Saccharomyces cerevisiae S288C: one gene and its partners. Changing the gene in region 4 together with the main gene of any one other region gives a genetic interaction. Each region holds a gene or a part of one and is shown on either strand. Other genes may lie near its edges.

Region 1 (5,601 bases), on a different chromosome or scaffold from region 4:
TGGTCCAAAAATTTCTTCCTTAACAATTCTCATGTCTTCATTAACATCGTAGAAAACGGTTGGTCTGATGAAGTAACCCTTGTCACCAACTTTTTCGCCACCAGTTAAGATCTTGGCGCCTTCTTTCTTACCGATATCGATGTAGTTCATAATTGTGTCGAATTGTTGACGGTTAGTGATAGCACCTTGGAAGTTAGCCTTGTCAAATGGATTACCAACTTTGATTTCGGTTTCCAAGTAAGCCTTGAAAGCAGCCAATAGTTCGTCGTAAATACCTTCTTGAACGTAAATTCTAGAACCAGAGGAACAAATTTGACCAGCGTTCTTGAAAATACCGTTTACTAGATTTGGTAAAGTCTTCTTAATGTTAGCATCGTCAAAGACCAAATGGGCGGACTTACCACCTAGTTCCAAAGTGATTTTCTTCAAGTTAGATTCAGAAGAGTCGACAGCAACACTCTTACCGACTTCTGTAGAACCGGTAAAAGCCAGCTTTCTGATTCTTGGGTCGTTGGTCAAAGCAGCACCAACAGTTCTACCAGGACCTGGAACGATGTTGACGACACCAGCTGGAATACCAACCTTCTTACATAAAGAAGCAAAGTATAGGGCATTTAAAGGTGTGACAGCAGCGGGTTTCAAGATACAGACGTTACCCATGGCCAATGCTGGGGCGATCTTCCAAGCCAACATCATTATTGGAAAGTTCCATGGAATAATTTGACCACAGACACCGATTGGCTCTAAGGTGGTGAAGTTCATGTAGCCGTCACCGGTGTTGATTGTTCTACCGTTGACTTTGTCGGCATAGGCAGCAGCATCTCTTAGACAGTTGATTGCAATGGTAACATCCCCACGGGCTAAGGCCAAAGTTTTACCATTGTCCAAAGCTTCAATGGAAGAAACCAAGTCAATTTGGCTTTCCAATTCGTCAGCCAACTTACTTAGTAGACGGCCTCTTTCTCTTGGGTCTTGGGTAGCCCATTCAGTGTCGTGGAAAGCACGGTCGGCACATTCGATAGCATATTCAACATCTTCAGTGGTGGCAGAAGAGACCTCACAAACGGTGTTTTCAGTGGAAGGATCTTCGACGGGATAGGTCTTACCGTCTTGAGCTTTCATAAACTTGTTGTTAATGAATAGACCGGTTGGTTGCTCGTATGTCAAACCATTTGGAAGTGTGATCTTGACTGGTTCAGCAGTGTCAAAGTGTAGCTTAGTCATTGTATTCTGATAGTATGTGTTTGTGTATGTTAAAGATGTTTCTTGATGTTTTTTCTTCTATAAAACAAGAGAAGTAAAAGACTGAACACTTCGAATTGAATATTACCAAACTTCTTATTACATTTATATATGATATCAAGAACTTGTTAAACACGCCAGGCTTGACCTCGAACGGTGTTTTGATGTGTTACTCAACCGTTAAATCGCTGTTTGAGCTGACTAACAAGGTTGCTTGTCTTGAATCCCCCTCACCCCGAATTTATTACGAATTTGCCCACATGGTCGGTGCTATATCGCATTCGTTGCACTCACCGTTCCCAAGAGGAGATCAATGTTACATACGTTCCCGATGCCCAAAACGGTAAAGTTAAAGCGATATAGAAGCTGGATGCATATCTTTTTACACGTCCGCGGCGCGCCCACCCTCTTTTTTCTTTCTGGTTCCTTTTCGGTCGTTTTTCTTTTGTCGGCTGCCTTATTCCCGTGGGGATGAGGCGAGCGCCGTTTCGGCTTGGATACGCCATATGCAACAATGACGTCTCGGTGCTGGCCATGCCCCTCATTTATGTCGAAAAACAGGCCACTGCCCCTCTTTTCTGCGGCCCGGGCAAGAGGAGACCTCATCAGCCACGGCGACGTGCTGGTTGCTTCTACAATGGTATCTTCACCTTTTACATAATCCAATTCTATCATGCCCTTACGTGAGGGGCAGTGTCGTATGTGACGGCAGTTCCTGACCTGATAGTGTGTCTATTTGTCTGTTAGCGTCCGCGGAAAGTTGTGAGTACGGTTTTTAGTTTAGTTTCCACCCGGGATTATACTTTTGGCTACCCTGACTGGAAGGCGGCGGCCTTATATTCGAATGAACATGCCAGGCATTGTACGAATTGAAACTTTTTTCGTATGACGTTACGAATAATTCCATTCGGCCTAAATATTCTTTTTTTTTGGATTTTTATGCTAGTGAAGGAATATGAGATATGCAAAGCGCATCAGATCATTAGGTGTGTCTACATCGTTAAAATTTAACATAGAAAAAATAAATAGGCGTGTTTGTACGTAGTATGGTGATGTTAGGAGGTGCAGTGGTAGTAAGTTAGCAATATACATAAGTTTTATTCACATGACAGTAACAAAATGAGGGTGTGGGGAGTGTACAGGTACATTTACATACACACATAGATACGTAGATACATGAGAAGAGGGTTTACATGAAAATTATTTGGATTCAGCAATCTTCTTCTTTTTCTTTTCCTCTTCAAATAAGGCGTCTACCTCCTTCTGCTTCTCCAATTGTATTTTCATTTGTTCTTCTGGCGAAGGCAAGTTACCTTCAACATAGTCTTTCAGCGTAAATGTTTGCCCGCCCATTTGCTCCTGCTGTATTCTAATTTTTTCCTTTTCTTCCTCAATCATCTTCATGAACATTAAATAGTTCTTTTGTCCTTCTTCATGAATCAAATCGAGCGGGAACTTGGTGCTGCCGCCCAGGGAATTTCCGAGACCTAGTGCCGTCATTGCCCAGTTGCCACCAGATTTATGATCTCCGTAAAATTTATCCTTCAATTTTTTCACACGATGATCAAATTCTTCTGCTAGGTTCTTCTTGTCTTCAAAGCTGTTCAAGATTGGTCTAACATCCTTGGTTTGTTGAGTGGCAAGGTACTCCAAAAATGGAATCAATCTTACTAATTTGTCATCAGCTTCACCATTCCATGGCTCCATTGGAATAGCATTTTCAGGTTGCAATTTGTAACTGTTAGGGTCAGTGTCAATAATGATTACTTTACTCAAATCTCTATTCAATTTTGACAGATCCTTAATGTGCACACCGTCTTTGTAAACACAGTGTTCCTTGAACAAATTATAAGATACGAATGCATGGATTGGATCTAATTTTTCAGCGATTTTGTCAGAGTACATCATATAGTTGGATGAAAACAAAACAATTTCGTAATACTGCGATAGGTAACCCAAGAAGTAGTCAGCACCAGGTCTTTTGGCCGTTCTCCAACCATGCTTTTGAGACCACTCAGAATGAACCAAAAAATCTTCCAATGTGATAACAAGAGTTAATGGCCTTTGGTACGGTGGTGGTGGTGGTGGAGGTAGTAAATCAGGGAAAGGTGGCTCTTGGAAGTAGGTGAACATTGAGTTGAACCTGGCCTTGAATCTTTTATACATAAGTGATAAAGTGTAGCCATTATCGATGTCTTTCTTCAATTCTTCAGACTCTTGAGGCTCCCAATCCCTTGCCATGTAGATTGCAGTACCTGTCAACGCAGACAACGAAAAAATGTAAAACCAGTTAGCATACTTTTCTCTTTTAATATCTGTAGAAGTTTGTCTTTTTCTTCTAGATTTTTCACTTTTGGAAGAAGGTTCATTCTTGTCCTCTCCTCCTTCTCCTGATGTTTCCTCGTTTTTGCCTTGGCCCTTCTCATCGACGTCAACACCGGCCTTGAACAGCATATCATCTGTAAGAATGGATTTAGGCTTGTCGTCTTTTGTTTCTTTTTGTAAAAAACTTGAATAACTTGTTAAAAGTCTTCTGGATGCTTGAACCGATGTTAAGGTGTTGGCGGCAGATGGCACAACCCTAAGAGCCCTTGAATTTAGTCTCACCGAATTTCTTAAAATGGACAGCATTGCAAGCGGGTGATTTTTGGAAGTTTATTCTAGCTGTGATGTGCTAAAGCAAAAAATCAGTTATGCGCCAAAAGCTAATCACGAAATTGAGTGGATGCTAGAAATTACCGTTCCGATTAATCCTGACGTTATGTTCGTTTGCTGAATATATCTCACTTTACTGAAAGAACTTCCAATTTTTTTTTTTTCCTTTTCCGCTGTAAAGCGTCTGAAGAGAAAAAAAGGTTCAAAATGTCCTGAGAATAATTTATTGAATAATTTATTATTCAAAGCGTATTACAGGAAACATGTATGATGAGTTTTAAACCAAAGTAAGAATGCTATGTCCAGTAATATAGAACCTCAGACAACAGCTAAATGTATACTGTATACAACAAAGGGGAACATTGCCATTGAATTATGGGCTAAAGAATGCCCTGAGACATGTAAGAGGTTCTTATCTATGCTCTCAGATGGCACATTCACCAATGGAGAATTTAAAGAGTTAAAGCCAACACAGTGGCTAATGTTTAATGCAAATAGTACTGGTGAGTACCGTACAGTTGCTGAGGAAAAAAATCCTCGTATACGCTTCAATAGAGATGGACTCTTGGGATGGGATAGACGAAGGAACACATGGTTTATAACTGTGCTGGCGGATTCTAAGCACGTACTGAACGATTGTAATGTATTTGGCAAAATTGTTGGGAAATCTATTTACATCTTTAGAGAGATCTTGGGCGGCGAAATTGAAGCTTCCTCCCGTGACAATGATGTCAAACGATTCATGTATCCTGCAGTTTTGAAGGATGTTGAGATTACCATACCATTCTTTGAGGACATCTTTGGATCAAAAAGAAGACTGGAAGATAATGAAAAAAAAGAACAAGAGCCGGCAAAGAAACTTGTGAAATCAGCAAAAGTAAAGATGGTTTATGAAGATGAGCAAGAGGATGATGATGGTGATGTTCAAAAGCTTAAGCCAAGAAAGAGAATGATTCTCCCAGCATGGATCAAAGATGATAGTCGCAGTGAAGGAATTAAACTAGACGCATCCTTAGATCAGCCACAAGAGGCACTAATTAGGGAAAAGACGGAGTTGCATGATAATGTTGATGAGGCAACCACTAAAGAAACGGAAAGTCAAGAAAACATCAAGGAAGAACCAATGGATAAAAGAGAGCGGGAAACTTTGGCAATGTTGTCAAAATTTCAAGAACGAATAAAAAACAAGAATATTCTAAAGTGAAATAGAAACGCTTGTGTACTTATATATGTTATCATAATTTCTATTTGTTTATTTCTTAATCCAGTAAAGCATAAAAACTTTTATAGGCTAGTTCTAGATCAAACAGAAGTTCTCTAATTTGTGTTTCAGTTAAAGTGTCACCAATTGAGAGTTTATTTATTCTGACAATCCAGTCAATGAGTTTTGATCTATTCTCAAAATCATCCCTGGTGACGCGATTTATGCTGATTAACAGTTCAGCCAATAAGGGATGTAATTGATCTTTTGCATTATAGTTTAGTTTCAAAGCATCCATTACAGTGATGAAATTACCAGTGGCCTCAGCGACGTATTTAGCATTAAACTTTTTGTCGCTAGAAGAACTTTGTTTATTATCACCAGAGGGAGCCGATGTGGTAGTGGATATCGCATGTTCTGCTGTAATTGGTATGCCCCTCTCCAGTCTTGTTATTGCGTTCGAAGCAGTGATGTTGTATGTATCGCAGAACGCTTCTATGGAT
Region 2 (6,621 bases), on a different chromosome or scaffold from region 4:
TCTCTTAACAATTTCCCATAAAACTTCATAAATACTCTGAGTTGTGATCCGAGAAGAGGGAGTAGGCTTCTTCTGGAATAACTCAATGATATAATCGTTTGTGCATGTTCCTCCAACTTCGAGGTCAAAGTATCGATATACTGATTTGATCCAAAGTACAGGATCACAGGATGAAATAATCCCTTAATTAGCATCAAATGCAGATCCCTTTCCTTCAAAACTAATCTTTCACTATTAATACATTCCCATATAAACGAAAATTTCTCAAAAATGAATTTCACTATGAAAATATCATCATCAGAAACAGATGTGGAGCAATGGATGTAGGAATCTATGATAAAGTACAATAATTTACAGACTGCCAGGTTCCCCAGATAATTCCCATTATCTTTGTTAATATTCTCGTCAACTAAGCGTAGTAGTATGTGAAGCTCATCATCATTTCCTTCAGAAGAGTCACGATTTAAGGCGTATGTTTTCAGGAAGGTATTTAAAAGTTCAAAGTAAGAAGAATAAGCGCTGTCCTTCACTTTAAAGCTCTCTCTTGAACACTGATTGGCAGACTTTTTAACCATTTCATATAGGCTCAGAAGGTCATTAAAATTTAGCTCGATTGTATCGAACCTACATTCATAAGTCTTCTGGTAAATTTCAGCAAAGAACTTGAATTTATCAAGCGAAAATTTTTCCATTACCGACTTAAATAAATTATTCACATTGATGGATTTCCATGTAGATATTGTAAAATTTGGGTAAGACAACAAAGCGGTTGCATTTTCATAGGTATAACCGTTCGAAGGTTCGCCTGAAAGTAGCTGAGTTAGAAAAGTAACTGCCTTTGAAGTGTAAACGGGTATATCTTGCTTCGACTTCGCAACTTCAATTAAAAAATCGGGAGTAATATCAATATCCTTGAAATCGAAGATGATAGATGCTAAGAGGTCAAAAATAGTATCCTTTCCGATGTTTGTCGTCAAGTTTTCTTTCGCTTGCAAATCGTCAAAGTGAGAAACGGCAAGATCCCTATAATCTTCAAAAAGAGGCTCAACATATTTGTATGTCCCTCCCTTTAACTTAATGTGTGAAACTAATGTAAACAATAATTCAGATGCGGAGACAGATGGATCAATGTACAGTAAGAACTTCAAGTAAATTGTTTGGATTGTAGTTTCGAGAACCTCTTCTTCGGCTGCAAAATCGTACAATTTCCTGATCAGACTCAAATGGTCAGAGTTGATTGTTTTCTGTTTGTTATTCTGGAAGAAAACTAAGATACCGTAGGACAAGTATATCCTAGAAGGGTCAAAAGAGGTCCCTTTTTCCACCAATAATTTCAAAATTTCAAATAATATATCTGATATGCCTTCTGTTGTTTGGGAAAGTAAGTTATTGACAAATAATGAAAGTTTTTCACCATGGGGACAACTGACACCTTTTACATCAAAATAATGAGCGGACATTGCAGCTGGAAGAAGAGTTTTTGTCAATAATGGCAAGTTTGAAGAGAATGCTGACATATTTGTAATCGAGAACATTAACGTCATCATGTATTTTCTGACACTCTCCATTGATGATTTCAATCCCGTAGAAAGCAAGATAAGGCCCCAACTATGGTGTAAATGCTCGTTATCAAAAATTTTTATTATATCTTGTTTGGCCGCTTGTATTTGATTCAATGATGTGTCCAGAGCAATCATTTCATATAAGGTGGTGAATTTCTTCCAGCTACCCAGCATCTCGATATTTGCTAGATCATTGCATTTATAAAATGTTGTTTGCAATGTTATACCATGAGATGACAGTTTTTGAATTGTTAATTTAAGAATTGAGAGTGCCAATTTTCTGTGTTCGTGCACATCATTATCCAGCTCTGTTTGAATGTGCCTCCAATAAGCATCGGTCTTTATATAAGTAATAAGTTCAGGAGACAACTCTGCTGCTAAAAGGAATCTTAGGAGAAAAGATAAACTGTTCTTTTGCTTCCAAGCTTGTTGGGAGCCTTCAGCGTACAATTGTTTGATAAATGTCCAAATGAGCTTATCAAAGTTACTATCGGTATTGCAGCATTTCGATAAATATTTGATATGCCATCTCATTAACTTGGAGCAGGAATCAGCAATCTCTTCCGAATTACAGCCTAACAATGGAACAATGATAAAATCTAGGCATTTGGACGATATACCATTCTTACATTCGTCAAATAAATATACAACTTCTAAGTAGTGAAGCAGGCTAAGGATATCTAAGTGCAGATTTTCATGCTTGATATTAGCGTTTTGTTCCTCAGCAAAAGAATCGAAAAATGGTTGTACAATCTTTTTTCCAAAGTTGTCATTGAAGAGATGTTTATAGTTTTCGCTAATGATGTCATTTAACCGGTAGCTCATCCACACCTGAAATTTATGCCATACACTGGGTAAACAACATAGTAATTGTGCAGAAGTTCTTAGCGCCTTGTTCATTTCAGCCCTCGAAGAGCGAAACATTTCCCTGGCTTCACCGTCTATACTAGCATACGCAATGACCTGCTCAGTAATTTTTTCAAAGATTGGTGTTTCAATGTTGCTGTCCGTCGTTATATCCAGTGGCGAAGTTTCAATCAACTCCAGCACCTCTTCTAAGCTGTCATTCTGAATCAAGTCTGATATAAGCTTTAGTTGCTCTTCGCGTGGTAAATATTTGCAGATGAGAGCACCTCCAACCATTTTGCTGGTAAAAAAAAGGTATAGAGTTTGTAACGTTCGTTAAACAATTCTTTTCACCGGATTTTAATAAGGCTTGGCTTATTTGCTTACTAGCAATTATATAGTTACAATAGTGCTGTTTCAATCTTGCTCATCGCCATGGTGAAACTTTTCGAAAAACACTTGAATTTTCATTCACGTGATCTACATTCCCTTACCCGACAACTCACCCATTGTGCCCCCTTTAAGATATGGCTATTGAGTAAGCCAATATTTATCGATTTACAGCAAGTCATCTCCAAAATGAAGAGATGACTAGCTCGAATACTGGTGGTGCAATTGAACATACCATCTAGAAAAGTTGTCTTCTACAGCACACAATGTCAGACTTAAATGATGTCCAAGAAAATGCTAAATTGAATTCGGAAACTCGGAATACAGGAAAGGCTGAACCACCTCATGGGACAACTGAGTATGTGGCAGAGGCAGAAATTTCTAAGAATGGAGTTGGATCGCCAAAAAAGAGCCCAAAAAAGGGTAAGGTTGGAAAGGGGGACAATAACAAAGTAGAAACTGAGTTAGTACACACAGCCCTGTTAGAAAAAGACAACCCATTCATGGAGGAGGGGCCAACAGGATTCACAAAATCAGCTTTATTAGAAATACCCGGTATGAGAAGCCATAACCTAAAGAACCCGAATGAAGATTACGAGGATGACTCTGAGGGATTATTGCCTTTAAACCAAGAATCGAATGCAGAAACATGTAGAACAAGTCTTAGTGGAAGTATTAACTCCATGAACGGAGAGACCTCTGCGTCAGAAGAACCTTCTGTAAGTAATAGAAAGAAGTCCGCTAGGATACACATACTTGAAGCGAAAAGAGTTTCCGAAGGTCAAGGAAGAGCCTACATCGCCTATGTTATTCAGTTTGAAAATTCTACCGTTCAGAGACGTTACAGCGATTTCGAGAGTTTGAGAAGTATCTTGATAAGATTGTTTCCTATGACGTTGATACCGCCGATTCCAGAAAAGCAGTCAATAAAGAATTATGGTAAGTCAATAACTGGTTCGAGTTCAAAGTATTTGCTGCCCTCAGAAGGTTCTGGTTCAGTAGATCTATCATTGTCTGTGATACATGCGTCGGTCAATAATAGTGATGAAAAGTTAATACGGCATAGGATAAGAATGCTCACTGAGTTCTTGAACAAACTTTTGACGAACGAAGAAATCACAAAAACATCTATAATTACCGATTTTTTGGATCCTAATAACCATAATTGGCATGAATTTGTTAACAGTTCGTCCACTTTTTCATCTTTACCGAAGAGCATCCTCCAGTGTAATCCACTAGATCCCACTAACACCACTAGAATTCATGCCATGTTACCAATACCGGGCTCCTCGTCACAGTTATTGTTGAATAAGGAGTCCAACGACAAAAAAATGGATAAGGAAAGAAGTAAGTCGTTTACTAATATTGAACAGGATTACAAGCAATATGAGAACTTGTTAGATAACGGGATTTATAAGTATAATAGACGAACCACGAAGACTTATCACGATTTGAAATCGGATTACAATGAAATCGGTGAGGTATTTGCACAGTTTGCCCATGAACAGGCTCAAGTTGGGGAATTGGCCGAACAGCTTTCTTACTTAAGCAATGCCTTTTCGGGGTCCTCGATTTCTTTAGAAAAATTAGTTGGAAGACTATACTACAATATAAATGAGCCTTTAAATGAATCTGTTCATATGGCAACTTCTGCAAGAGAATTGATCAAATACAGAAAATTGAAATACCTGCAAAATGAAATGATTAAAAAGTCTCTGAATTCCAAAAGAGCACAGTTGGAGAAGCTGGAAGCGCAAAACAATGAATATAAGGATGTTGACAAAATAATTGACAACGAAATGTCTAAAAGTCATACTATTAATCTGGAACGCCCTAATAATAATACAGGTAGCGGTGGGAAATCATATGGTGGCAAACTATTCAATGGATTTAACAAATTGGCATCAATGGTAAAAGATTCTGTGAAGTATCAAGAAACAGATCCGCATACCGCAAGTATCAATTTGAAGAAAGAAATTGAACAACTGTCTGAATCATTGGAAGTTACTGAGAATGATTTGGAGGTCATTTCAAAAGTCATCAAAAATGACCAGCTACCTAAATTTTCTAAAGAAAGGGAAGTAGATTTATCAGAAATTTTAAAGCATTATTCCAGATATATGAGAAATTATGCCCGTCAAAATTTAGAAATTTGGAAAGAAGTCAAAAGACATCAAGATTTTGCATAGTATTATGAGCATTTTTTTTTAGCGTTATAGCATACTTGATATATATATATATAAACAACGTGAAGATCAAATAACGTCAAATGTATTAAATAGACTAAAATATTATGCACTTCTCTTCGGATTTATTGCTCGCGGGCTGGTTGACGTTACATGGTCCATTCCACTGAAATGTTTTAAGAGATGCCTATATGGCCAACTCAAAGTTTTGAAAAAGGGAACTAGGTTCACATAATATGGGGCATTTAGTGTTTGCAGATGATTATGCTCCATCGCAGAGATTATCGCTAGTGCCAGTTGGGAAGGTATGATGTCAGGAGCCAATAACTTAGATGGTGTAGGGACATCAATAAACATATTAGTTTTGATTTTTCCCGGGCACACCAGTAGTGTTTTTATTCCAGTTTTATTACATTCCGTGGACAAACTTCTGAAATGCCTGCTCATACACTTGTGAAAACCAATCATTGCTCCTTTTGATGCACCATACGATGTCAGCCTTGCAGGAGTCAGTTCTCCGAGGACTGAAGCAATGTTAATTATAAAGCCTTCCCTATTGTCTATCATATCTTCTGCAAATGTACTGATGATTCGGTAAGCACCTATTAAGTTTATGTCGATCAATTGTTCTACCTCCTTGTTTGTCATATGTTCTAACTTTTTGATGTGAGCAACACCAGCATTATTTATAATTATATTAATGTTGCCATGATCTCTTTCAATAGCTTTTTTCAAATTTTTAATTTCATCTAGACTTGTTATGTCGCATTGATAGTAGAAAATGTTATTATATTCTACCTGAGCAAAAGTAGGAAATGATTGAATATCTGCCACAATAACTTTATTAATTCTTCTGGAAAGTTCCTTTGCAAGTTCAAATCCGAGTCCACTAGAACCACCGGTTATTAGTGCAGTTGCATTTTTAGAAAGGATGGAAGGGTTGTAGCTGGGCAGACTTAGGATGACTGATGGAAAATCCTTGAGGTGTTTTGTAGTTCCACTCGCTCTATTTATTTTATTCTTGCGTACCATAATTAATAATATTTCTTACCCATAAAACTATGTTAAATATGTCACTGAATCTCTATTGAGGTGTCCTTTTGATGATGCGGTTTCAGATATGAGAAATGTTCATTCAAGAAGTGTCACAAATTCTGTTCCTCTGCTGACGCCCGCTACATATTGACGTTCAAAAATATAGAAGAAAAAGGCAGTAAAGCGTTAACATAAGAAAACTAAAGAGCAAGTCTGATTTGGCACTACCACGCTTCCAACAGAAGTAATTGTTGCTTCAAATAAGTTCGCAGCATGTGGATTCAAGTCCACAGATGCGATATTTAGGAGCCCAATCAGATAATATTGATTCCGGGTTATCTCTTGTTTGTGTCGGCACAGGGGATTTAAATTGTGTAATGCTCAAGACAAGTTATTGATGAGAACAAGAGATGGTATATAAAACTGCTCTCTGAGGTATAGCTTTTGTTGAGGTAGGCATACAAGATTTCGGGAATGAGCACTATTAGTACCACAACGGCACCTGAGTTTATCAGAGTAAAGAGAAGAAGGGATGAGGATTCTGTGCAGGCATTATGTATGTGTTGTTATTCTACCGATATAACAAAAATGCGTTTGACTAA
Region 3 (5,959 bases), on a different chromosome or scaffold from region 4:
ATATCAGAGGTCAAAGTCAAGATATCTTGTTATCATCGGTGTTAGTGCCCAAATTGCCAATTGAACGCCTCTATCAAACTGAGGAACAAACCAGCGCTCGCAAAGGAAAACGCGTTTTCTTTTGGCTGCTTTTCTTTCGAAGTGCAGGAACGAGCAGTATTTGGTTGCCATTGTGCGGCACACCCAAGCACACAACGATGCGCTAGGCCAATTGATTCATTACCGTTGGTGTTTCAGGTATTCGTGCTCATCAACGTGACTATTCAGCAACTGAATTAAACTGCTCTTAATAACTTATGTGCACCGTAAGCCAGTCAGTGCTAATGAAGGAATCAATCAGGAGTCGTACAGTGCGTAGGCACACTTTTTTTCCGCAGCTGTTTACTAAGGGTTGTGTAACGTCTGGGTGTGGAGGGGCAATTACCGTAAAGATGCTCTCGAAATTACAATACTACGGTACTTTTCCCCACGGAAAGTTGTATCTCGGAGTTAAAAAGGGAGTGGCACGAGATTCATACAATGGCGTGCAGGCAAAATGATTACTACCGAAATCGAAGCAAGATGATGTTCAACCTTAGGACATCGAAGCTGTACCTCTGCATGAAGTAAGCAGAACAAGGCAAAGTTTAGTTTTTCAATGCTCGCTTCTGCTGGCACTGTTAGTTTGCAGCACATGAGTAGCAGTGGCGCGATTATATCCCCGTTGGGCCATCAAAGCGCAGCTTTTTGTGGTATCAGATAAAATAGTGGTACGCTAAGGCTCTGCGTGAGGAGTTAAGCAATATGCCAAGTATTACTTTGTAGACTTAATTTTAAAATGCTCTTAATTTTAATTTCTATTTTTCTATTTTCTATTTTCTATTTTCTATTTTACTTTTTTTCTTTTTCTGGCTTTTTTTAGTAGTGATATATAATTAGTTTTTCATCTGAAAGATATTTAGGGCACCATTTTCTTTTGTTCTTAGATGCAGATATTCTTTGGCGATTTACCCTGGTGGTACAGAAGATTATGTTACATAATTCATCAATTTTTTTTATGTTAGTTCATCTTCAAAATCTGCTTTAACTGGTTATTATTAAAATATAGTAAATCTAGATCTCTCAATCTGAGTGCTTACCGACTAAAAGCGCAGAAACTGTATTCTTATTATTTTTTTTTTTTCACGGCAGCTAATTGTACTGAGTTATATTAATAGTACTGGAATAACACCAGGTAACGACTAAGGAACCAAATAAAGTATGGACTATAAGCATAATTTTGCTACAAGTCCAGATTCTTTCCTAGATGGAAGGCAGAACCCACTCTTATATACAGATTTTCTATCTTCAAACAAGGAGCTTATATACAAACAACCATCGGGTCCTGGTCTTGTGGATTCTGCCTACAATTTTCATCACCAAAACAGTTTGCATGACCGTAGCGTGCAAGAAAACCTGGGTCCAATGTTTCAACCCTTTGGCGTCGACATCAGCCATCTTCCCATTACCAACCCTCCCATTTTTCAAAGTTCTTTACCAGCGTTTGATCAGCCCGTGTACAAAAGACGCATATCTATCTCCAATGGTCAGATTAGTCAATTAGGCGAAGACTTAGAAACGGTTGAAAATCTTTACAACTGTCAGCCTCCGATCCTATCGTCTAAGGCGCAACAGAATCCCAATCCTCAACAGGTGGCAAATCCAAGCGCAGCCATATACCCAAGCTTTAGCTCGAACGAATTGCAAAACGTGCCACAACCACACGAACAAGCTACAGTCATACCCGAAGCTGCACCTCAAACAGGTAGCAAGAATATCTACGCTGCAATGACCCCGTATGATAGCAATATAAAGCTTAACATACCCGCAGTAGCAGCCACTTGTGACATTCCTTCTGCCACGCCTTCTATCCCATCTGGCGATTCCACAATGAATCAGGCTTACATCAACATGCAACTCCGATTACAAGCTCAAATGCAAACTAAGGCATGGAAAAACGCTCAATTGAATGTGCATCCATGTACTCCAGCCTCTAATTCTTCCGTTTCCTCTTCTTCTTCCTGCCAAAACATTAATGATCATAATATCGAAAATCAATCCGTCCATTCTTCAATTTCCCATGGCGTTAATCACCACACTGTTAATAATTCCTGCCAAAATGCCGAGTTGAATATTTCAAGCAGCCTTCCATACGAATCGAAATGCCCTGATGTCAATTTAACACATGCCAACTCAAAACCACAATACAAGGATGCCACTTCTGCACTGAAAAACAATATTAATAGTGAGAAAGACGTACATACCGCGCCCTTCTCCTCTATGCACACTACAGCAACCTTCCAAATAAAGCAGGAAGCTAGACCCCAAAAAATAGAGAACAATACTGCAGGCTTGAAAGACGGTGCTAAAGCTTGGAAGCGTGCAAGGCTACTAGAACGAAACAGAATTGCCGCTTCCAAGTGTCGACAGAGAAAGAAAATGTCACAATTACAACTTCAAAGGGAATTTGACCAAATAAGCAAAGAAAACACAATGATGAAGAAAAAAATTGAAAATTACGAAAAATTGGTTCAAAAAATGAAGAAAATTTCGAGGTTGCACATGCAAGAATGCACAATTAATGGTGGTAATAATAGTTATCAAAGCCTTCAAAACAAGGATAGTGATGTTAACGGGTTTCTGAAAATGATTGAAGAAATGATACGCAGCTCCAGTCTATATGATGAATAAAAGTATTGCGCATACTTCTTATGGGAGATCCAAATTCCCAGTACATTAGTTTGACTCTCCTTCCTTAATGTTTTCCTCTGTACGATTATTTATGTTTAAACGATTTATTTTACTATGTATGTATTTCCTTTCATTTTCTTTCGGAGTCATATATATTGCTGGGCGGCTAAATGTTTCCGACTTGTAAAAGAAAACATAACAAACATCTTGTAGTTGTGAAACAGTTTCATTAAATAATCTTTTAGAAGAGTAAGGACATGAGTAGAGGCAAACTGGAAGATATGGAACAAAAGGAAACATCGGAAGTTGACTGGATAATCGTACGTGAAATTGTCACATCCTTAACCTATTTTCTCTTTACTAACTTTTAGTAAGAGGTGTAATCTCCTCGAATATTATCTATGACAGTGTTTTGCTTTAATTCAATCCAGGAATCCTACGTTGTGGAAGAGGGCACTTTCAAGAAAGAAAGGAGATGTCGAAGATGTAGGTGCTCTCAAGAGTGAAAAAAATTTAAAAATAAATCCTCGGGAAAACTCAAAACATATATACAAATGGGTTGCGCCTTTCGAAAATGGATTTTTGAATAATAAATCACTGTTTGCTCATCTGGAACCTATATACAATTTCCTTTGCCAGAATAAGTACAAAAGCTTCGAAGATGCAGTTGGTTTAAAGGAGCTGCAATCATTTAGCAAAGATGTATCAACTGCTGATATAAACAACTGGTTTTTACCGAGATATAAAATTCTGCTAAAAATCCTGAGCTTAAAAACAAAAGAAATTGACTTTAGAGGGTTATCGCAAGTGTTTCAAACACTCCAAATCTTGTTAGTTTCTCATTATTCGCATCGCATAGATTCTGATTCTTCTTTTAAGAGGACACTGATAGACGTTCATGTTTTCAATTTCATCGCCAAGTTTCTGTTTAATAGAATTTTATTGAAGAAGAACCAAAACGATCCAAAATGGCTTCAAAACTTTTACGACCAGGGAGATGGCAAACATTTATGTGATAAAGTTGACTACAAGCGCTTGTGTTCGTTGCATTTTACCCTTATTTACTCTATTATTAACATTCAACTCATCAAAATCAAGACAAACCAAACATTTGAACCGCAGATATTAAAATACGTATCTGTTCTGAAATTAATTGAACACATACTTATCATCATCGAAAGTCTGATACATGTACTTATTAGATTTGTATCGAAGCATAAACTAATATGCATCAACCGGAAAAAGGCGTACTGTCGAGTATACCTCGAAAGAGAATTGAGTTTGAAGAAAACCTACTTAAAGAACTTTTACAGTGTAATAAGCGGTGTCCCAGAAAAAGAGTTAGGGGGTCTATTGAAAATACTCAAGATAGTTATTCTATCATTGCTCGAGACATTTGAAAGCATTGAATGGCAGCACTTAAAACCTTTCCTGGAAAAATTTCCGGCTCATGAAATATCGCTTCAGAAGAAAAGGAAATATATACAGGCGGCCTTATTAATTACTGCCGAAAGAAATTTGATAGCGCGCTTTCGATTGTCAAGATGGTTCAATGAGACAGAAAACATTTAATTTTTCTTTTGCAGTAGGAGGCGCATTATAAAACACAAAAATATCGAAAGCTCTTTCATTTCGGGGACAACAACTTCAGTTGAAAATTACAGTGAACACAACATCTTCCCCAACAGACCTACATTAAAACGCTTCTTCCGGACTTGCCCATGATTAACCTAATCTTATACGAACTGAATTAAACTTTACGGTATTACCGATAGGAAACTTCTATTTTATGATTTTTTCGTTCGGGGACGGAACGAACAGGAAACAAAAAAAAAGGTACGATCCATTGTATTCTCTACCCCCGTATATAAAACTAAGCTGAACAAGCCTGTTGTTTTGCTTTACTATTGCTACTATTTTTGACGTAAACGCATTGACTAATTTCAGGTTTTTATATTCTTGACACTAGCTAGACCATAGTATCGAAGGATTCAAATACACTAAAGTATCAGATAATGTTCAGCCTACAAGACGTAATAACTACAACCAAGACCACCTTGGCAGCAATGCCAAAAGGTTACTTACCAAAATGGTTACTTTTCATTTCCATTGTATCAGTCTTCAATTCTATCCAGACTTACGTTTCTGGTTTAGAATTGACACGTAAAGTCTACGAAAGAAAACCCACTGAAACAACCCATTTGAGTGCAAGAACTTTCGGTACTTGGACCTTTATTTCCTGTGTTATCAGATTCTATGGGGCTATGTACTTGAATGAACCACACATTTTCGAATTGGTCTTCATGTCTTATATGGTTGCCCTATTCCACTTCGGCTCTGAATTATTGATCTTTAGAACTTGTAAGTTGGGAAAGGGATTCATGGGTCCATTGGTTGTCTCAACCACCTCTTTGGTTTGGATGTACAAACAAAGAGAATACTACACTGGTGTTGCTTGGTAATTCTGATGTAAGGGCAAGCATATCCTGTAAAAAAAATTATATAGAGATGATTTATTTATATAATGCCTATAGCAACCTTTATCCAAACCTTCCGTACATTATTTAACAGCAATTGTTTATCATTCATGATTATTTCTCAAAAAGCTGCCAATTTGGCTTCATTTCTGTAAGTATCCCTACCTCTCTCCTCTAACGCAGATATTTCTGTGCACGTGATCTCGTTGGCTTTTTTTTCGGCCGAAATTTTCACAGGCTAAGGCCGAAAAAGAAAGAAAATTTTCAGAGGAAAAAGAAAATTAAACGACCTCGAAGCCGTATTTTAGATTTTCCAATCTCTTATTTAGTAACGTGGTTTATTAACTCCATGATTCCATTCCTATTTGTTTTTCTTTCTTTCTGAAAATCCTCTTCTCCTCGAAATAACCCAACTGACAAAAAGAACAATTCCCAATGTCTGCTCCAGCTCAAAACTACAAAATCGCTGATATCTCTTTGGCTGCCTTCGGTAGAAAGGAAATCGAATTGGCTGAACATGAAATGCCAGGTTTGATGGCCATCAGAAAGGCTTACGGTGACGTCCAACCTTTGAAAGGCGCCCGTATTGCTGGTTGTTTGCACATGACCATTCAAACTGCTGTTTTAATTGAAACTTTAGTTGCTTTGGGTGCCGAAGTTACCTGGTCCTCTTGTAACATCTATTCGACTCAAGATCATGCCGCCGCTGCTATTGCCGCTTCCGGTGTTCCAGTTTTTGCCTGGAAGGGTGAAACTGAAGAAGAGTATTTGTG
Region 4 (6,468 bases):
TAAATAAATAAGTGAATAAATAATGGTACGAATAACACAGTAAAAAGGGCACCCGTTTTTAGTGTATGGAAAAAGTTGAGTGCTTTACCCTTTTTCCATGATGACCGTTGAAACATGTACGGACTATCAAGTAATAGTGAGGGTAAAGACAGTATATACACACTTCCTTTTATTTTCGTCTCATCTTGTATTTTCATTTGAAGGACGGAATATTTACTTTTCATGGCTTGTATTTTTACTCGATTCCAACTTTTTTTCAAGCTTATCAAATTCCTTTAATGCTATTTCTTGCTCAGGATCCATGATCTGAATCACTTCTTTCACTTCATCCACATAGTGCTTCAACATGGACTCAATACCGTACTTCAAAGTCACTTCACTAGAAGAGCATGAGGTACATGCACCTTGTAATCTTAAATAAACGGTTCCAGTCTTTGGATCCCACCCACGGTAATCGATATCACCGCCGTCCTCCAAGATGGCTGGTCTTATTCTTGTATCTATCAGCTCTTCAATCAATTCGCTGACCTCTTCATCTTCTTCGGTAAGTTCAAATTTGGGCATATTTATTTTGTAGCCACCTTCTCCTTCTTCTTCTTGGACAGCATGGAATTCTTTGGATATAACATCTTCACCGTAAGCAAGTTGCTTGGTTAACAAATCTATAATTTCAGGCTTGATACTATTCCAATGGACCATTCTGTCTTTATTAATAGTGAGAAAATCATCACCTATCATTAAAGACTCCACTCCTGGACACTGCAAAAAAATTTGCTGTGCTAACTTGGAATGGTTGATGAGGTTTTCATCAGTGTTCTTAATAACTATACTCTTGGAGCCACGCGTCTGTAGCATCTCGCCATCTGTGGAGAGAAATTTTAAAGCATTTTCATTTGGAGTTGTTAAAGTCTTAATATGAATTAATCTCTGAGAATTTAAGTAAAAAATCGGAGACTTCCCCAATTTAGCCACTGATTTGAACATTGTTAGTCAATTTCTTGCTTTTTTGCTTAGATTACGCTGAGAATGCCTTATGTATTCTAATTAGTCCGCTAAATACGCTTCTTTTTATAATGATTAATAAGCAATATTGTAAGTAGATCACTGAAATTCGGAAAACTTAAATTATTTATCACTTGATACGTTAGAAGGCTATTTCTACAATCACCAGGACTCCGCTAAGTGGTCCTATAGATTTGATGAAATGCCTGCTTTGACGGTCTTGATGATACAAGCTAACGCTTAGCATGTTACTATACTCAATGTACATTGTTTTATCCTCAAGAGACCGCAGACGTTTCAATTTTGTGTTTAAAAGAACAATGGACAGTATATACGTAGTGCCAATTTTCTTCTATGGTGTATTATGCGCATTGAACATTGTAATATCCGTAATGTTGAACATAATTTGGGAATTGCTTCCGAATCTTCAACCTTCATGTATACCTCTTTTCGGCTAGAGTGTGGTACTTTAATTACTGCTTAGTTGTTTTGCCCGATTTAGATATTGCACCCGTGCACGTCACACATAAGCTTGGTCTTTTAAATAGTGTGTGAAAAAACGAACTTGAAGAAAAAGATAGAGCAAGATATATATAGGAGTAGGAATAGGGAGAGTGGAAAAAAAAACTTAGCCTCAAACTAATAGTCAAGAGGATCAACTATTCTGTTCAGGTTTTGCAGGTTAAAAATTGAAATAGAATATTTTCTCGGTAATTTCAAGAAACAGCTGGTAAAAAGGCAGTAAATTTACAGAAACTAAGAGTGTAAGGGCACAATGAGAGTATATCAGTTTTGCCGACCTTTCCAATTATTCACCTGCTTCTTATGCTACCTTCTAGTGTTCGTAAAAGCTAACAAGGAAAAGATAAGTCAAAAGAATTATCAAGTATGCGCAGGTATGTATTCCAAAGAAGATTGGAAGGGCAAAATAGACCCGTTTATATCATTCAATCTTAAAAAAATAAGTGGATTGAGTGATGAGTCTGATCCAGGCTTAGTCGTTGCAATCTATGATTTCCAAGACTTTGAGCACTTAGGTGTGCAATTGCCGGATGAAGAAATGTATTATATTTGTGATGATTATGCAATTGATATCGGGATTTGTGAAGAGGAGAATCGTGATGAGTTTATTGTTCAAGATGTTGTATATGATCCATATACTTCCACAAATAGATCTTTGGCCAATCCAATCATGACGTTTTCTCAAAATGAGGTCGGCCTTCATGATACTAGATACCCAATAAAAGAAACCGGATTTTATTGTGTTACTGCGTTCAGATCATCGACGTCTACCAAGTTCAACGCTGTGGTGAATTTCAGGAATGCTTATGGTCAGCTTGCGGGCACCGAGATCAACAAATTGCCACTATATGGTCTTTTGGCGGTCGCATACGTTGTGGCGATGGCGTTATATTCCTTCGCCTTCTGGAAGCACAAGCATGAATTGTTACCATTACAAAAGTATTTGCTGGCCTTTTTTGTATTTTTAACCGCAGAAACCATATTTGTATGGGCTTACTATGATTTGAAAAATGAAAAAGGTGATACTGCGGGAATAAAAGTTTATATGGTGTTCTTGTCGATATTGACGGCTGGTAAAGTTACATTTTCATTTTTCCTATTATTGATTATCGCTTTGGGCTACGGTATCGTGTACCCTAAGTTGAATAAAACGTTGATGAGGCGTTGCCAAATGTATGGTGCGTTAACTTATGCAATTTGCATTGGATTTTTGATCCAAAGTTATTTGACCGACATGGAGGCACCATCTCCACTAATCTTGATCACCTTGATTCCTATGGCGCTTGCATTAATCATATTTTACTACATGATTATTAGATCCATGACAAAAACAGTTATCTATTTGAAAGAGCAAAGGCAGATCGTAAAATTGAACATGTACAAGAAGCTACTATACATCATTTATGCGTCCTTTTTGAGTGTACTAGCTGGTAGTATAGTTTCGTCATTTATTTACGTTGGCATGAACACTATTGATATGATTGAGAAGAACTGGAGGTCAAGGTTCTTCGTTACTGATTTCTGGCCTACGTTAGTGTATTTCATTGTTTTCGTTACCATCGCGTTCTTATGGAGACCAACAGATACTTCATACATGCTAGCCGCATCCCAACAACTACCCACAGACCCAGAAAATGTCGCGGACTTTGACTTGGGCGATTTGCAATCGTTTGACGATCAAGATGACGCAAGTATCATCACTGGTGAGCGTGGCATAGACGAGGATGACCTCAATTTGAATTTTACTGATGATGAAGAAGGACACGATAATGTAAATAACCATAGCCAAGGCCACGGGCCAGTGTCTCCCTCTCCAACAAAATAACGCTACCTCCAGCAGATTTGATTAGGTGATGAGACAAATAGTTTCTTCGAGGGCAGTCACGAAATGTTTACAAGCGAAAAGAAAGAAATTATGAACCATATGCACTTCTGTTCAATGCGATGTGAATATGAATATGAATATAAATATGAATATAAATAAATAAATAAATAAATGCGTTGCACGTTTCTTTTCATTTATTTGTGCGTGCTTTTACCTGTTTATAACTGTAGTCACCAAAGCTATGCTATACTCTAGACCTAACTTTTTCGTTTTGTATTTATTTAGCCGCTCGCTGGAGTTTTTTTTTTTTCGGTGATAAGATGATTTATATCAAACCGAAACAAGCGAAAAGTTTCTGTTCATCGACTATAAAATGGAAGAGAAAATTGGTCCATAGACTTTTCATGTGTACTTGTTTATGAGAAGAGACGCAGGAAGACCAGAAGTGAGGAATTCCCTTTGTTCAAGGATGAACAACGAAGCCAGATAACGTAAGGTTGCGCGCTGCATCAGTGCTAACCTTATTAGCTTTCTCTGGCTTTTTCGGTCTTTCCTATGTAACATAACATGTATATTCTATTTGTTTATGATGAGACCACGTCCTTAGTGACAATGCTATAAACCCAGCTCTTCGATTCGTTTTTAATGAAAGGGAGAAGATTTTTTTGTCAAACGCTCTGAGTAATAGAATATACATGCGACAACATTTGTAGTTACTTGTCTTACGCTTCCTAGGGAACGGATCATCCGAGTAGAATATCATTTTACGGGATCACTTTATTCGGTGTGATTGCTCGTTAAGCCGCACGACCATTTTATGGGCACGCTTCCGCAAGTTGGTTCTTTCATCAGAAGCTTTACCACGATTGGCAAGTCATGTAGCATGTGCGCTAACATCGTTTATCGTTTTCTGTGACGTGGCTTATGAGCACCAGAGACGAATAATCAACAGTACATCAAACAAAAGCTACGTCACCTCACCAATAATCCGAGCTTCTTGAAATGGCAGGTATTGGATTCATAAAATATGTCGCTGCTTTGTGCATTTTCCTTTAGTTTTTTCCTTTTTTTTCATGTAGCTAACTAAGCAAGACGATTATGGGAAGGGACCTTTTAAGGAAAAACAGGAAAAAAAAATAGTAGCAACTAGTAAAAATTCAAAAAATAAAAAAAGTCAAAATAAGAACACATCAGTTAGGAACCGTGCTTGGAGTTTTGAGACTGGAGTATTGTCCATCCAACATATTCTGCTCTTTCACCATAGACTTCGTTGGAAATCGCCTCTCCCTTGTACTATATTGTGCAGAACCGTTCCCGCAATTTTCATTGGTGCAATAATAACACGCTTCTTCGATTCTCACATTTGTCAAGAAGCTGTACTCTTCTCTCAAACTCCAATATATTTCAAATTATGAACGAGCTGAACACTGTTTCGACTAACTCCAGTGACTCCACCAAGAACGGTGGTACATCCAATAGTCCCGACGATATGGACTCCGCAGCAGCAGCAAGTCACGCAATAAAGAAAAGAACAAAGGCCTCCCGGGCCTGCGATCAGTGTCGTAAAAAGAAGATTAAATGTGACTACAAAGATGAAAAGGGGGTCTGCTCAAACTGCCAAAGGAATGGAGACCGTTGTAGTTTTGATAGGGTTCCTTTGAAAAGGGGACCCTCGAAAGGCTATACGAGGAGCACCAGCCATCCAAGGACTAACGAAATACAAGACCACAATAACTCAAGGTCGTATAATACGTTTGATAATAGTAACAATACCCTGAATAATAATACGGGCAATAGCGGCGACAACGGTATAAACAGTAACACAGTTCCAAGTACCCCTTCGAGATCTAATTCAGTTTTATTGCCCCCACTGACACAGTACATTCCCCAGGCTGGTGGCATTCCTCCTAGTTTCCAAAATCCAGCGATACAATCAACTATGCCCGCGGGTAATATTGGCCAACAGCAGTTTTGGAAAGTGCCCTACCATGAGTTTCAACACCAAAGAAAAGGATCTATCGATTCTTTGCAAAGTGATATATCGGTAAGAACATTAAATCCCAACGAGCAGTTGTCTTATAACACCGTTCAACAGTCTCCCATAACGAATAAACATACTAATGATTCTGGAAATGCAAACGGAAGTGTCACCGGCTCAGGCAGTGCCTCTGGTAGTGGTGGTTATTGGTCCTTTATAAGAACTTCTGGTTTACTAGCTCCTACTGATGATCATAATGGGGAACAGACAAGAAGATCAAGTTCCATACCTTCTTTGCTACGAAATACTTCAAATTCTCTTTTACTAGGTGGCCAGCCTCAGCTTCCCCCACCTCAGCAACAATCGCAGCCACAAGCACACCAACAAAAGTTGCAACAAGGACAGAACCTATACTCGTATTCTCAATTTTCCCAGCAGCAACCGTACAACCCATCGATATCATCTTTTGGCCAGTTCGCTGCTAATGGTTTTCATTCTAGACAAGGATCAGTCGCCAGCGAGGCTATGTCTCCCAGTGCACCTGCCATGTTTACTAGCACATCTACAAACCCCGTAAATGTTGCACAGCAAACACAAAGACCTCAAGGACAGCAGGTACCGCAATTTTCATCTGAGTTGGATGGAAATAAAAGGCGACAATCAGCCCCCGTATCAGTAACATTATCCACGGACAGGCTGAATGGTAATGAGAATAATAATGGTGAAATTAACAACAATAATGGCAGCAATAATAGCGGTTCTTCTAAGGATACATCTCAACATTCCCAAGAATCTGTAACTACACCAGCGGCTTTGGAAGCATCCAGCCCTGGATCAACGCCACAGAGAAGTACAAAAAAACGCAGAAAAAGTTACGTATCTAAGAAGACAAAACCAAAGAGAGATTCATCTATATCTATAACATCGAAAGATTCTGCTCACCCAATGACCACTTCATCAACTATCGCGTATGGACAGATATCCGATGTAGATCTAATAGACACCTACTATGAGTTCATACATGTAGGATTTCCGATCATACCTTTAAACAAAACGACCTTGACCAGTGACTTATTGTTAGTTAACACACAGCCAATTTCCAATATACACGAAGTCAATTCATATGTTATTTTGTGGTTTA

What was found.
Region 1: mutations in PTM1 (region 4) and CWC27 together harm fitness more than expected from each alone (negative genetic interaction), as found in Saccharomyces cerevisiae (2 studies listed by BioGRID).
Region 2: mutations in PTM1 (region 4) and ATG20 together harm fitness more than expected from each alone (negative genetic interaction), as found in Saccharomyces cerevisiae (2 studies listed by BioGRID).
Region 3: mutations in PTM1 (region 4) and MEI4 together harm fitness more than expected from each alone (negative genetic interaction), as found in Saccharomyces cerevisiae (2 studies listed by BioGRID).

Annotation. Positions count from the first base shown.
Region 1 is NC_001148.4:428,211-433,811, reverse strand, and holds CWC27 (putative peptidylprolyl isomerase CWC27), read left to right. Parts: upstream 1-4,195; coding exon 4,196-5,101; downstream 5,102-5,601. Other genes in the region: aldehyde dehydrogenase (NADP(+)) ALD6, read right to left, coding at 1-1,224; YPL062W (uncharacterized protein), read right to left, coding at 1,513-1,917; protein translocase subunit TIM50, read right to left, coding at 2,443-3,873; ESCRT-I subunit protein VPS28, read right to left, coding at 5,157-5,601. UniProt on the Saccharomyces cerevisiae protein: PPIases accelerate the folding of proteins. Catalyzes the cis-trans isomerization of proline imidic peptide bonds in oligopeptides. Involved in pre-mRNA splicing.
Region 2 is NC_001136.10:254,999-261,619, reverse strand, and holds ATG20 (Atg20p), read left to right. Parts: upstream 1-3,064; coding exon 3,065-4,987; downstream 4,988-6,621. Other genes in the region: TRM3 (tRNA (guanosine(18)-2'-O)-methyltransferase), read right to left, coding at 1-2,705; YDL114W (short-chain dehydrogenase/reductase), read right to left, coding at 5,090-6,016; IWR1 (Iwr1p), read left to right, coding at 6,494-6,575. UniProt on the Saccharomyces cerevisiae protein: Required for cytoplasm to vacuole transport (Cvt), pexophagy and mitophagy. Also involved in endoplasmic reticulum-specific autophagic process and is essential for the survival of cells subjected to severe ER stress.
Region 3 is NC_001137.3:236,782-242,740, reverse strand, and holds MEI4 (Mei4p), read left to right. Parts: upstream 1-2,966; coding exon 2,967-3,029; intron 3,030-3,117; coding exon 3,118-4,281; downstream 4,282-5,959. Other genes in the region: ACA1 (Aca1p), read left to right, coding at 1,240-2,709; ERG28 (Erg28p), read left to right, coding at 4,725-5,171; SAH1 (adenosylhomocysteinase), read left to right, coding at 5,622-5,959. UniProt on the Saccharomyces cerevisiae protein: Required for meiotic induction of recombination, viable spore production and chromosome synapsis. Component of the MER2-MEI4-REC114 complex which seems to be required for meiotic double-strand break (DSB) formation.
Region 4 is NC_001143.9:360,845-367,312, forward strand, and holds PTM1 (Ptm1p), read left to right. Parts: upstream 1-1,777; coding exon 1,778-3,349; downstream 3,350-6,468. Other genes in the region: NFU1 (Nfu1p), read right to left, coding at 214-984; RGT1 (Rgt1p), read left to right, coding at 4,761-6,468.